Mus musculus: one gene and its partners. The protein of the gene in region 3 purifies or fractionates together with the protein of the main gene of each other region. This does not show direct contact. Links are inferred from orthologs where the notes say so. Each region holds a gene or a part of one and is shown on either strand. Other genes may lie near its edges.

Region 1 (3,646 bases), on a different chromosome or scaffold from region 3:
CCTCTGCGATGAGGTCATCCGTCGAGCTGTAGCGTCGTGGCCCCGCCCCTCGACGTCTTCACCCCCTCACCCCCCTCGACACCAGAGCTAAAGTCGGGCTGTCTACGTTTCAGTCCTAACGGTTGCCGCGCGGCGCTGGCCTCCGCGCAAGCGCGACCTGACACACTCACACGCACGCACGCACGCACGCGCCCGAGGCGGTGGTTAGAGGCTCTCCACGCAGTGGACTAGGGATCGGGCGGGTAAGGCGATGGGCGAGGCTGAAACACCTTCCTTCGAAATGACCTGGAGCAGCACAACCAGCAGTGGCTACTGCAGCCAGGAGGACTCGGACTCGGAGCTCGAGCAGTACTTCACGGCGCGTACCTCGCTGGTCCGCAGGCCGCGTCGGGACCAGGTGGGGAGCCCGGGGGGTGCCGCCGGCGGGTGAGGGGCGGTCGCTGGAACCCCGCCCCTCCCCGGTAAGTTGCGGCCTGGAAAGTTAGGTGATGGGCAGCCTCCCCGCCTCTCCATAGCGAGCCACTCGGAGGGTCCTGACAAAAGCGAGGAAGCGTACGTAGGGTTCTCTGTCCCGAGTAGAAGCCCAGTTCCAGCGCGATGGTACTGAGGACCCAGGCTACCCTGCCCTTGCAGTCACAGACCGGTTGAGCCAGGGGGAAGCAACTCTGAAGCTTGAAGGGTGGACCACAGGCGGGCGTTTTTCACCCATGACTAAAGCCAGACTCGCAATCCAAACCGGCGTCTTGATTTCGCATTTGGGCGCTCCCACTCCCTCCCTGGGGGAAATGAGGAAGTGGAGGAGGAGTCCACCGGGAAGTGAGAAGTTAGTTTGGGAGGGGACTCTGGCCGTGCCGTGATGCGGTCTTGGATCAGCCAGCAAAGTGCCCAGCCGTTGCTCGACCAACTCTTTGACACCAGCTGCTGGACTCGATCTTTCTTTCCTCCATGGTGGAACTGTGCAGAGGGATTTGGGGAATTCAGGAAGAGGGCCTTAAAAGACTATTAAAAAAAAAAAAGTGTGGTACCAGGGCAGCTGAACCTCTTTAAAAAGTCTAGATGTGCCCAAATTATCCGACTTTCTGGGAATATCATAGTTGTGGCCACCAAGCTCGGATAACTTGTTCTGGAGCGGGAATCCCTCGGAACAGCACAGAGGCCAGCGAATCAGGAAAGTGAGGACGGAGACTGAGGTTAGAAAACTTAGTAGCACTGAACTAGAACTCCTTATTTGAGCCAAGAAAGTGGAATTGTCTGTGATGCTGTAGGTGAGATTTGATATAAATTTCCTACAGGTGGACTGCTACTTGACACCTCCAAAACCTTAGTCCAGACTTTAGACTCAATGTGGGGTGGGAGTGGGGGCGGGAGGGTGTCTCTGGGATTGTCTCCATACCACTCAACCTGAGTCATCTTCTATTATGGAGAGGTGGGGGAAAATATAAGATACTGGCCAGTTGAAAGGCATACAAAGAGAAGAATTGTTTAAAAGCAGCTGAAGTTTATAGCTGACTTAGCTGTAGAGTGCTTAGCATTATATGTGTGATGGATGGCCTGACTTCCAACCATTAAGGAACCAAAAAATAAGAAAGAAGAAAAGGAAGCTAAGAAGTCCCAAAGAGCAGAGTAAAAGCCTGAGGGCTGGGGCTGGGCTGCAGGTTCAATCCCCAACCCAGACCCTCCTAGAATTCTCCTGGGACCAGGCACTGCCTAGCGGTGATCCCAGCTGTGTTTGTTCCAATTGCATTCCAATTTAGGGCCTTTCTGAAACCAACAGGAAGTAAGACTCACACTGGGAGTTGAGGACTGACTGCTCTTCCAGAGGTCCTGAGTTCAATTCCCAGGAACCACATGGTGGCTCACAACCATCTGTAATAGGATCTGATGCCCTCTTCTGATGCATCAGAAAACAGCTACAGTGTATTCACACATATATAAAATAAGTAAATAAATCTTAAAAAACAAAACCAAACCAGGAAGTAAGACTCAGGCAGTTAGGTCAAGTGAGTCCTGGCTGCCCTGAGCAGCAGGGTGACTCCACCCTCCCGCAGTTCCTGAAGAACCTTGTCTCTGGGCTAAGTCTTCAGACAGCGAGGGGGAAGAACAGCAGCCTCCCTGCTTGCTGCTGGTAGGACAGGCTCTGCTGGGAAATTGCCTGTACACCTCTGGCAGATGAGAACCTGGATTGAAGCTGCCTTCTATGTAGCTTGAGTCGGGGGGTAAATGGTATGTCCCAGTGTTACTTCACTATATAAGATGTGGTGTGGCTGGTCCCAAGAAACCCACTAAGGCATCTTACATTACAGAGATCAGCTTTCCTCTCCTGTCTACTGTAGTTAGACTGCTGGTGCACCAGCTCCCGTGCTGCCTACCCTCTCTCGGGTCATGTTCTGTGCTGCTGCACTGTGGGAGAGTGGGCTTTCTTCTCCAGAACAAACTGACCAAACTAGTGTTCTGGGTTCAGCTCTACAGTGGAGATGTGATTGTGTTGTGGTTTTAATTTTTGTATGTGGTGGGGGTGGAAATCAAAGGGCCTTGTACATTCTGGGAAATTACTCTATCACTGAGCTACATTTTATCCCCCAAAGTGTTTATACTTTAAACAAGATTTTTCCCTTACAGTCCTTCATGGTTTCCTGGCCCCTGGACATGTGCCTTCATTTATCTGTTTCTGTGATGTCGTTAGGGGCCACAACCAGTGCTGAGGTGGCCCCAGATAGCAGAAAGCCAAACGGATTCTACCTGTCCTTGCTCTCTCCATCTATAGCATGTAAAACCAGGAGCAATGATGGCTTCAGGATGTATGGGTTTGGTGACAGGACCAAAATCAAGTTCCAAGCCAGAAGGACCATCCCCATCCCCACCCCACCCACCAAAGAGCCTTGGCCTTTTCAAGGGCCCTGTATCTATGCTGGCCTGTCTTTCAGGATGAGGCTGTAGAGCGGGAGACACCCGATCTTTCTCAAGCTGAGACTGAGCAGAAAATCAAGGACTACAATGGCCAGATCAACAGCAACCTCTTCATGAGCCTGGTGAGTTGGCTGTTCAGGAATGTGGGAGAACAGAAGCCCAGCTCTGGGCCAGATGTCCAGAGAGTCAGAGCAAAGTATTCTGGGGTGTACCCAAGCAGCTATCTGTGCAGACCTGGCTTTACCCTGCCCCTGGACGACTCAACCTAACTCTTCCATCTCCAGTAGAACTTCCTGACATGGCATGGTTCTCCTTTTCCTTTCTTTCTTTTCAGAATAAGGATGGCTCCTACACAGGCTTCATCAAGGTTCAGCTGAAACTAGTGCGTCCTGTTTCAGTGCCTTCCAGCAAGAAACCACCTTCCTTACAGGACGCCCGGAGAGGTACGGGGCGGAGCACAGCCGTGAAGCGCCGCACCTCTTTTTACTTGCCTAAGGATGCTATTAAGCATCTGCATGTTCTATCACGAACACGGGCACGTGAGGTCATTGAGGCCCTGCTTCGAAAATTCATGGTCGTAGATGATCCTCGCAAGTTTGCACTCTTTGAGCGAACTGAACGGCATGGCCAAGGTAGGTTTCCAGTCTCAGCACTCCCTGTGTAAGGGTTATAGATCACATACCTGTGTATTAAGGGGCTGAGCCACCTGAGTCTGTCTTTAATTGTTTATTTTCCCCCG
Region 2 (4,251 bases), on a different chromosome or scaffold from region 3:
AGATTAGAAATGGTGAGCAGAGGGATCCAGAAGGTGTAGAAACAATGACCACTATGTGATAGAATTATAAACGGCACCACTCTACATAATAAAGGAATATACCACTTTTGCAGCCCATCACATCTGGTGCTCTGAGTTCACTTATAAATAAAATACAAGCTACCACGCTGAACTGAACATGCTGTGAAGCACTTCACATGAGCCCATTTCATTCCCATGATACAGTTTACAGGTGAAGACATTTACATTTAGAACTAGCATAGGAAGTGGTAGGGCCAGGATTATTATTTCCAAAAGTGAATACCCAAAGCAGGGTATGTAGCAATCTTATCACATAAAAATGTTTCAGATAGACCATGCAGATGAGGGTTCATGAGCCTTCTAAACAGCAGAACAAAATACCTAATGAGGCTCTGAGAACAAAAGCCCAACATTAAGTCACAATGAGTAAACTTCCTAGCAAACAATAAGATTTCAAAAATGGTAGTTATGCTTCATGATAGACAACAAAGGTCAAAGAGGCTACACAGAAACTCACTGTCAGTAACACACAAGCTTCAATTTGGTGAATTCCTAGTCTCTTCATCTATAAAATGAGATTTTATAATCTTTTTCTAATGCAACCTACTGCATAGAGTTGTTGTGAGGATAAACACTATTAATTTGGAAATGCTATAAAATAAAACACTGAGATACTAAGATATAAAAGATTAGCAGTCTGTATCTTTTGCTTATTGCAAATGTCTTCTTGTTGGGACACCAAGATAACGCACTAGATAAAGACACCGGCCACCAAGCCAGATCACCTGAGTTTAAGCCCCAGAACTCAGTGAAAGGAGAGAAACAACTCCTGTAAGCTGTGCTGACTTACACACACGTCATGGCCTGGGTTTACAGAAACACACACACATGAGGTGGAGGGCAGGGATACCAAATCAACAAAATGGAATTTTAAAAACAATCCCTTCCTGCACAGGAACTATATCCTAGTCCCAACTATTCCTGAGTCAAAGGCAGAAGGAGCTCTTAAACCCAGGCACTCAAGCCACACTGCACAACATATGAGGGGAAAAACAAAAGAACTAAAAGAATTGCATTTCTAGATTAAAATGAGTCTTTGAAGAAATGGAAATTTAAAATGTAAAGTTTTATGTGCAAGCATGGCTTTGTAAAGTATAAGTCACGATGGAATTGTCACCCACAACTTCTGATTGTCCAGGTTCACTAATGTCAAGTGCAGGCATTTTCTTACAGCTATAATGAAACTGATAATTTACAGTACAGCCAACCAGCACAGATCTTTTATTTCAATTCAGTCATTCCAGCTGGCCTATGCCATAGTCTCAAAGATCTCCCCTTTACTGCCCTTCCAAAACAGAAAGAAAAAAAAGTTTCAGGTTTTCTTCTGTTATTGTGGGGAAGGCGAGTATCCAGGGACTACCAGAGGAAAGACACCAATAACATGCTAGAATCTAACAACTGACTTGCTTCCAGGGCCCAGAAGGATAGCCTGTCCCTTCTGGGAAACTGTCCACATCCTCCCCTTTTTTGCATCTGAACAGATGGTTTCCAGAAACCAAGGCTCACATGTCTAATCACACAATTCACAACGGTTCTCAAAGTGCCTACCTTTTTAACGATTCCACCTCATGAGTCTAACACCTTACATCTAAATATCTCTAGATATTAGAGCACATGAAGACTTTAATCTTCACTATAGCACTCTCTTAGACAGTTTTGTAAATTATAAATGAAAGTGAGGTTAAATGTTTTACCCAGCGTCAAACAATTATTTTATTCATTCATGGAGAACAGGGAGAAGACATTATGAACGTTTATCAATGGACATTTAGTTTCCTAAGATGATTGAAATGATTAGTTCAAACATATTGTACACAGATGCATCCAATATGTCCATGATTAAACATAAACAATATATAGCATACCAAAGTATCACTGTTTTTATGTGCAAAACTATATGGGGGAGAGGTTCTAAGTTAACATTCCATCTATCTTGGATCCATAAATTCTTTAGAACTTTGGGGGGAGGGGGGAAACACCTGTCATTGCTGCACATCCATAATGTTTTACATTCTGCGTGGCTATTAATATACTTAATTCCTTAAACTGTAAATAAGCGATCTGTCTTCACAAAGTGAATGGTTATATTATTAAGAAGACTTGATCGAGAGAGAGAGAGAGAGAGAGAGAGAGAGAGAGAGTGTGAGAGAGAGAGAGAGAGAGAGAGAGAGAGAGAATAAGAGAAGCGTGCATTGATGTCCTTATCTCCAGGTTTCTGGAATTTACTACTCAAACCCTCCTAGCCACCAGAAGGGCCGGGAACCCAGCGAGGGCCACTCAATTTGCGGCGCACCAGGCCCTCAAGACGTCGGCACGGAGACTCGGCGTCCCCTCTGGGTCCCTGGCCTCGCAGAGGGACGGAGCCGAACGGTGGGCGCCTGGACCAGGCTGCGCTCAGCGCCGAGCAGGCGGGGACAGGGTCGCGGCGGCAGGCCGGGCCTAGTAGCCCCCGCCCCGCGCCGCTGCTTCCGTCCTCATCCCGCTCCCGCCGTCGTTACCTCTTGGACGCCGGCGGCTGCTCCATGGCGGCCGGTGGCAGAAAGAAGGGCCGAATGGACCGTGAAGGCCGTAGGGAGGAAAGGAGCCCGGGAGCAGCCGGCCGAACGCAAGGGATCACACCGGGAAACTCGAACCAACTTTCACGTAACTCCGCGGCGGATCTCCCTCCCGCTCCTCAACGCGGTTCCTCCCGGCCGCCCCGCCCCGCCCCTCGGCCGTGGCCTGCAGCTCCGAGCTGGTGGGAAGAGGCCGGCGCAGCGAGGGTGGGCGGGACGGAGCGCGGACAGGGAGGGTGGGCGGAGCGTGTCCCGGGAAAGTGGGCGGAACCTAGCGCGGTCCAGAAGAGTGGGCGGGCCCTAGCTCAGCCAGGGATAGTGAACAGGATGCGCCCTGGAAGGCGGGCGGGCCTTAGCAGGGCTAGGGAGGGTGGGCGGAGCGCAGCCCGGGAAGGGTGGGCGGGTCCAAGCGCTGGTGAGAGTAGTGGAGAAAGGCCACCAAAAGGAGTGCCCAGCTCAGAAAGAAGATGTCTTGCTACCAGAGTGAGACTTTGGCAACCCAAAAGCTACTGTGCTGGTGGAGGGGTGCTAGTCCACTAGAGATTTGACTCATTTCTCAGGATTCCCCAAGAATACATGCCAATCATCTTGTAAATCTGTTTGAAGTAAAACTGCCCTCACTTCCCTCTCTTGTCCTGTTTATAATTATTAGTTATTATTAGCTACGTTCCCCTGCCCCCCAAGCCAATTGGCATTTGTAACTATAGTAGTTGGGATACTTCTGGAAATTCTGGTTGATTTTGATTGTATACAAGCATAATAATTACAGTCCAATGACAGAAAATATTTACTGCAGTGATCTCTTGGTGCACAAATTTAGAACACCAGAGTCTTGCTGGATGCCCTGTTGGGTAACATGGAAAGCCCATGACTAGTTATAGTGCTTGGAAAAAGATACTAAAGGAATATCTTTCTTTTTTTCTTGGGTCCCCGACCCCGACAGCCCTAACCCCCATTGAACTTGACCCCTTACACATTCATTTGTCTACTATTTAACCATAAAATACACACACACATCTTCTCACAACTATACAAATGAGTTTGCTTATTTTTTTTTCTAGAATATTCTTTAAAACGAATTGGGCAAAGTTTTCTTAGAGGTTGGAGCCATGTGTATGAAGTCAATATTAGTCAAAATGAGTATCAACTGAAACTAAATAAGACACACACCTTGATATCTATTTCATCTACTCAGGACAATAGGAACAATAACAAAAACTAAGTGATTAAAATGTCAATACTGGGCCATGAGGGGGTTCTGTAAGCAAAGGCACTTGCCACACAATCCTGATGAGTCTACAAGTGTAAAGAGAGAACAGACTTTACAAAGTTGTCCTTGGCTTACACACACACACACCCTTGCCACATCTCTCTCACACATGCACACACTTCCACACCCTCATCATGCACACACACAGTAATGCCAGCCTTTATATATATGAGTATGCTGTAATTTTCCTCAGACATACCAGAAGACGGCATCAGATCCCACTACAAATGGTTGTGAGCCGCATGTGGTTGCTGGGAATTGAACTCACATCCTCTGGAACAGAAGTCAGTGCTCTTAACCATTGAACCCCAGTACCAGCTTTTAAAATGTCAGTACTGGGAATCA
Region 3 (3,646 bases):
TATGTATGCGTGTACACTGTAGCTGTACAGATGGTTTTGAGCCTTCATGTGGTGGTTGTGAATTGAATTTTAGGACCTCTCACTCCAGTCAACTCTGTACCCTCAGTCCCTGCTCGCTCTGGCCCAAAGATTTATTTATTATTACATGTAAGTACATTGTAGCTGTCTTCAGACACACCAGAAGAGGGTGTCAGATCTCATTACAGGTGGTTGTGAGCCACCATGTGGTTGCTGGGATTTGAACTCAGGACATTCGCAAGAGCAATCAGTTTTCTTACTCGCTGATCCATTTCGCCAGCCTCCTCCCCCCCCTTTTTCTTTATTTTATTTTATTTTTTTTTGAGACGGTTTCTTTGTGTAGCCTTGGCCGTCCTCTGTCCTGGAACTCACTCTGTAGATCAGTCTGGTCTTGAACTTATAAATCCATCTGCCTCTGCCTTCCAAGTGCTGGGATTAAAGGCGTGCGCCACCACCGCCCATCGAGGAACTGTATTAAAGGCTCACAGCAAGCATTAGGAAGGTTGATAACCACTGGCTTAGAGTGATGCCTGACTTAGAGTCTGAAGGAGGGGGACGCAGTTAGAGACTCTGCACACTGGTGAAAGGTACATGGGGTCCTTCTCAGGTGGGAGTAGCCTAAGAGAGCCAGGTGTGCGATCTCAGCACTTTGGGAAGTTTGAGGCAAGAGGTCTGTTGTGCAAACCAGTTTGTGTTAGTGTGAGACTGATACCCCAAATTCAGTGACTAAGATGGCTGTGACTCTCATGAAAGCTCAACTTGGCAGTGTGTGCCTGTAATCCCACAGGAGATGTGGAGACAGGGTAACCCTGGGCGCTCACTGGGAGCCAGCCCACCCAGTTGATGACCTGAAGATTTACTAAGGAACTCTGTCCCTGAATGTAAGATCCAAAACAGTTGAGGAGGGCATTGAGTGTTGACCTTTGGCCTCCATGTGGTACACACACACAGTTCAATACATGTGCGTGCTCACACATAGAGATGCTGTTTGGAGCCTCTGGCAGGCCCCTGTAGGTGAATCACAGAAAAGACCTTTGGGATTTTGGAGCAAAGCTCTACAGACAACTATTCTCCCTTTGAAAAACAGCTCTTGGCCGGCTATTGGGCCTTAGTGGAAACTGAACGTTTGACAATAGGACACCAAGTTACTATGCGACCTGAACTACCCATCATGAGCTGGGTACTATCAGACCCTGCAAGTCATAAAGTGGGACGCGCGCAGCAGCAGTCTATTATCAAATGGAAGTGGTATATACGTGATCGGGCCAGAGCAGGTCCTGAAGGCACAAGCAAGTTACATGAAGAAGTTGCTCAAATGCCTATGGTTTCTACTCCTGTTACAATGCCATCTGCTGCCAAGCATACGCCTATAGCCTCATGGGGTGTTCCCTATGATCAACTGACCGAAGAGGAGAAGACTAGAGCCTGGTTTACTGATGGCTCTGCACGTTATGCAGGCACCACCCAGAAGTGGACAGCTGCAGCATTACAACCCCTTTCTGAGACAACCTTGAAAGACACAGGTGAAGGGAAATCTTCACAGTGGGCAGAACTTCGGGCAGTACACATGGTATTACAGTTTGTTTGTAAGAAGAAGTGGCCAGATGTACGATTATTCACTGACTCATGGGCTGTAGCCAATGGATTGGCTGGATGGTCAGGGACTTGGAAAGATCACAATTGGAAAATTGGTGAGAAAGACATCTGGGGAAGAAGTATGTGGATAGATCTCTCCAAATGGGCAAAGGATGTGAAGATATTTGTGTCCCATGTAAATGCTCACCAAAAGGTGACTTCAGCAGAGGAGGAGTACATAGGTGTGCACATGCATACATGTGCATACAGAAAAATCTCCCAAAAGTTGAGGATTCTAATAGAGCAGAGATGTGAAGCGGATGGCCAGACAGGGACTGGTCATCTTGTTGGTCAGGCCTCAAGTCAGAGATGCTGAGGCTTCCCTGAGCCCCTTGACTGTGCCTTCCCAGGAGCTAAGCCACGGGAGCCAAGCAGACAGAAGGGAGGGAGGGCGCTGGCACTCAGCTTTTGTCTCCTGCTGCCTGCAGGTGTTCGCTCCTGGGAGGATGTGGACCCCGCTGTCTGCAGCCTGGATGAGCAGCTCAAGGCCTTCGTGTCCCGGCATTCAGCCACCTTCTCCAGCATTGTGAAAGGTGACCTGCCCCACTCTGCCTCCCTTAGTTCTCCTGCTCCTCTCTGGGTGCTGAGCTGCTGAGTGGCAGCTGTATGCCGGGCGTGGGGTGAGGCAGTGCTAAGGCCTGCACAGAGGTACCTCTGGCCTGTGGATGCTGCCTTGGTTTTGGACAGTAGAAGAAAGTCATATGCTCTGTCCCTAACTTACAGAAGGGTGTAGTGACTTTAGGGAGGGGCCCTCAGGGCTGAGAACCAATAGGGAAGCAGAGATGGGGTGCAGGGCGATTTCCTTGGGATCCTGGGGTGGCCAGAGCAGCCCTTTCATGGGTATTGCTTGTAGCTCGTCCCTGCCCAGTGGGTTGAGTCACCACCTACAGCTGCAGGAGGGGAAGGAAGTGTCCCTTTGGGTCGTAGTGGCTTCCTGACCCCTGATCCATTGGAGAAAAAGCTGGAAGTGACCTACTGTGTGACCACAGCCCTCTGGACGCCCCTTCTGGGTAGTCACATTTCTCTGGCCTGGTCTTGCAGGGGAGGGCTGAAGCTGCTGTCTGCCATGTAGAGCCTCCTGTGTGTCCTCCTGGCTTAGGTGCTGAGCTGTGCTGGTGCTGATACGCAGTCTAGCACCCCTGGCTGATCATCTGTGTTGTCCCTGCTTGAGGCCCAGGGCACCCATGGGCTTCTTCCATTTTCTTTCCTGTTTGCTCTCAGCTGGGGCACCCTGCTGTGGGTTCTGCAGCTTCAGTACCTGAGGGTCCCCTGGTGGTAGGATTTGGGATTAGGCAGCCTGAGCCGGGGCCTGGGCTTGTCATCCCACAGGGCAGCGGAGCCTGCACCACCGTGGAGAGACCTTGGAGACGCTGGTCCTGCTGAACCCCTCAGACAAGTCCCTGTGTGATGAGGTAGGAGCAGGGCCCTGTGCTGTCCTCACTCCTGACCCAGCATATGTGCTTGACACTTCTGCACCTACTTCCTCTTGTAGACTTGGGGCAGGAAGGCTGGTCATGGAATGCACTGATGAGCTGGAGGCAGGTGGGAGGAACCCATGGAACCCAATGTCCTGGCTTAGCCTCTACCTGGCCCAGGCAGGAGCTGCCCTGGGTGGTAGGAGTCTTGCTTTTGGCCAGCCTGCACCTTCCTCCCAGTCTAAGACAGCTCTGGGACTCTCTGATGCATGTCACAAATTGATCTGGGAATGTTGTCACAGGCCTGTTGTCCCAGCAGGAGGAGGCAGAAGCAGGTAGGTGAGGGCTAGCCTGTGCCTAAAGAAAGATGGAGAAAGGGCTAGGTGGGTCTTCACAGGAGTCTCACGGTGAAGGAGCCCTGCTTGGCAGGCAGATGCCAGCTGGCCTCAGGGAAGGGGAGGGCTGTGGTAGGCACACCTGCTGGTTCTGCTTTCCTTCAGCCTCTCAGTTGCCTCTGACAATGAGTTCAAAGCTGGGGCCTGGTCCAGTGCCACTCACGGGGCTGCCCACCTTACCCA

Evidence for each region.
Region 1: the proteins of Map1s (region 3) and Rassf1 purify together in Homo sapiens (affinity purification with mass spectrometry; 4 studies listed by BioGRID and IntAct, counting the BioPlex papers as one, with this or other methods). This does not show direct contact. The link is inferred for Mus musculus from reciprocal best matches to the Homo sapiens genes MAP1S and RASSF1.
Region 2: the proteins of Map1s (region 3) and Stk3 purify together in Homo sapiens (affinity purification with mass spectrometry; 3 studies listed by BioGRID and IntAct, with this or other methods). This does not show direct contact. The link is inferred for Mus musculus from reciprocal best matches to the Homo sapiens genes MAP1S and STK3.

What each region holds. Positions count from the first base shown.
Region 1 is NC_000075.6:107,554,529-107,558,174, forward strand, and holds part of Rassf1 (ras association domain-containing protein 1), read left to right. Parts: intron 1-54; exon of another isoform or gene 55-250; coding exon of another isoform or gene 251-397; intron 398-2,924; coding exon 2,925-3,029; intron 3,030-3,241; coding exon 3,242-3,539; intron 3,540-3,646. UniProt on the Homo sapiens protein: Potential tumor suppressor. Required for death receptor-dependent apoptosis. Mediates activation of STK3/MST2 and STK4/MST1 during Fas-induced apoptosis by preventing their dephosphorylation.
Region 2 is NC_000081.6:35,152,948-35,157,198, forward strand, and holds the start of Stk3 (serine/threonine-protein kinase 3), read right to left. Parts: upstream 2,860-4,251; 5' UTR 2,606-2,859; coding exon 2,580-2,605; intron 1-2,579. UniProt on the Homo sapiens protein: Stress-activated, pro-apoptotic kinase which, following caspase-cleavage, enters the nucleus and induces chromatin condensation followed by internucleosomal DNA fragmentation.
Region 3 is NC_000074.6:70,908,864-70,912,509, forward strand, and holds part of Map1s (microtubule-associated protein 1S), read left to right. Parts: intron 1-2,081; coding exon 2,082-2,186; intron 2,187-2,506; exon of another isoform or gene 2,507-2,663; intron 2,664-2,982; coding exon 2,983-3,065; exon of another isoform or gene 3,066-3,337; coding exon of another isoform or gene 3,338-3,403; intron 3,404-3,646. UniProt on the Homo sapiens protein: Microtubule-associated protein that mediates aggregation of mitochondria resulting in cell death and genomic destruction (MAGD). Plays a role in anchoring the microtubule organizing center to the centrosomes. Binds to DNA. Plays a role in apoptosis.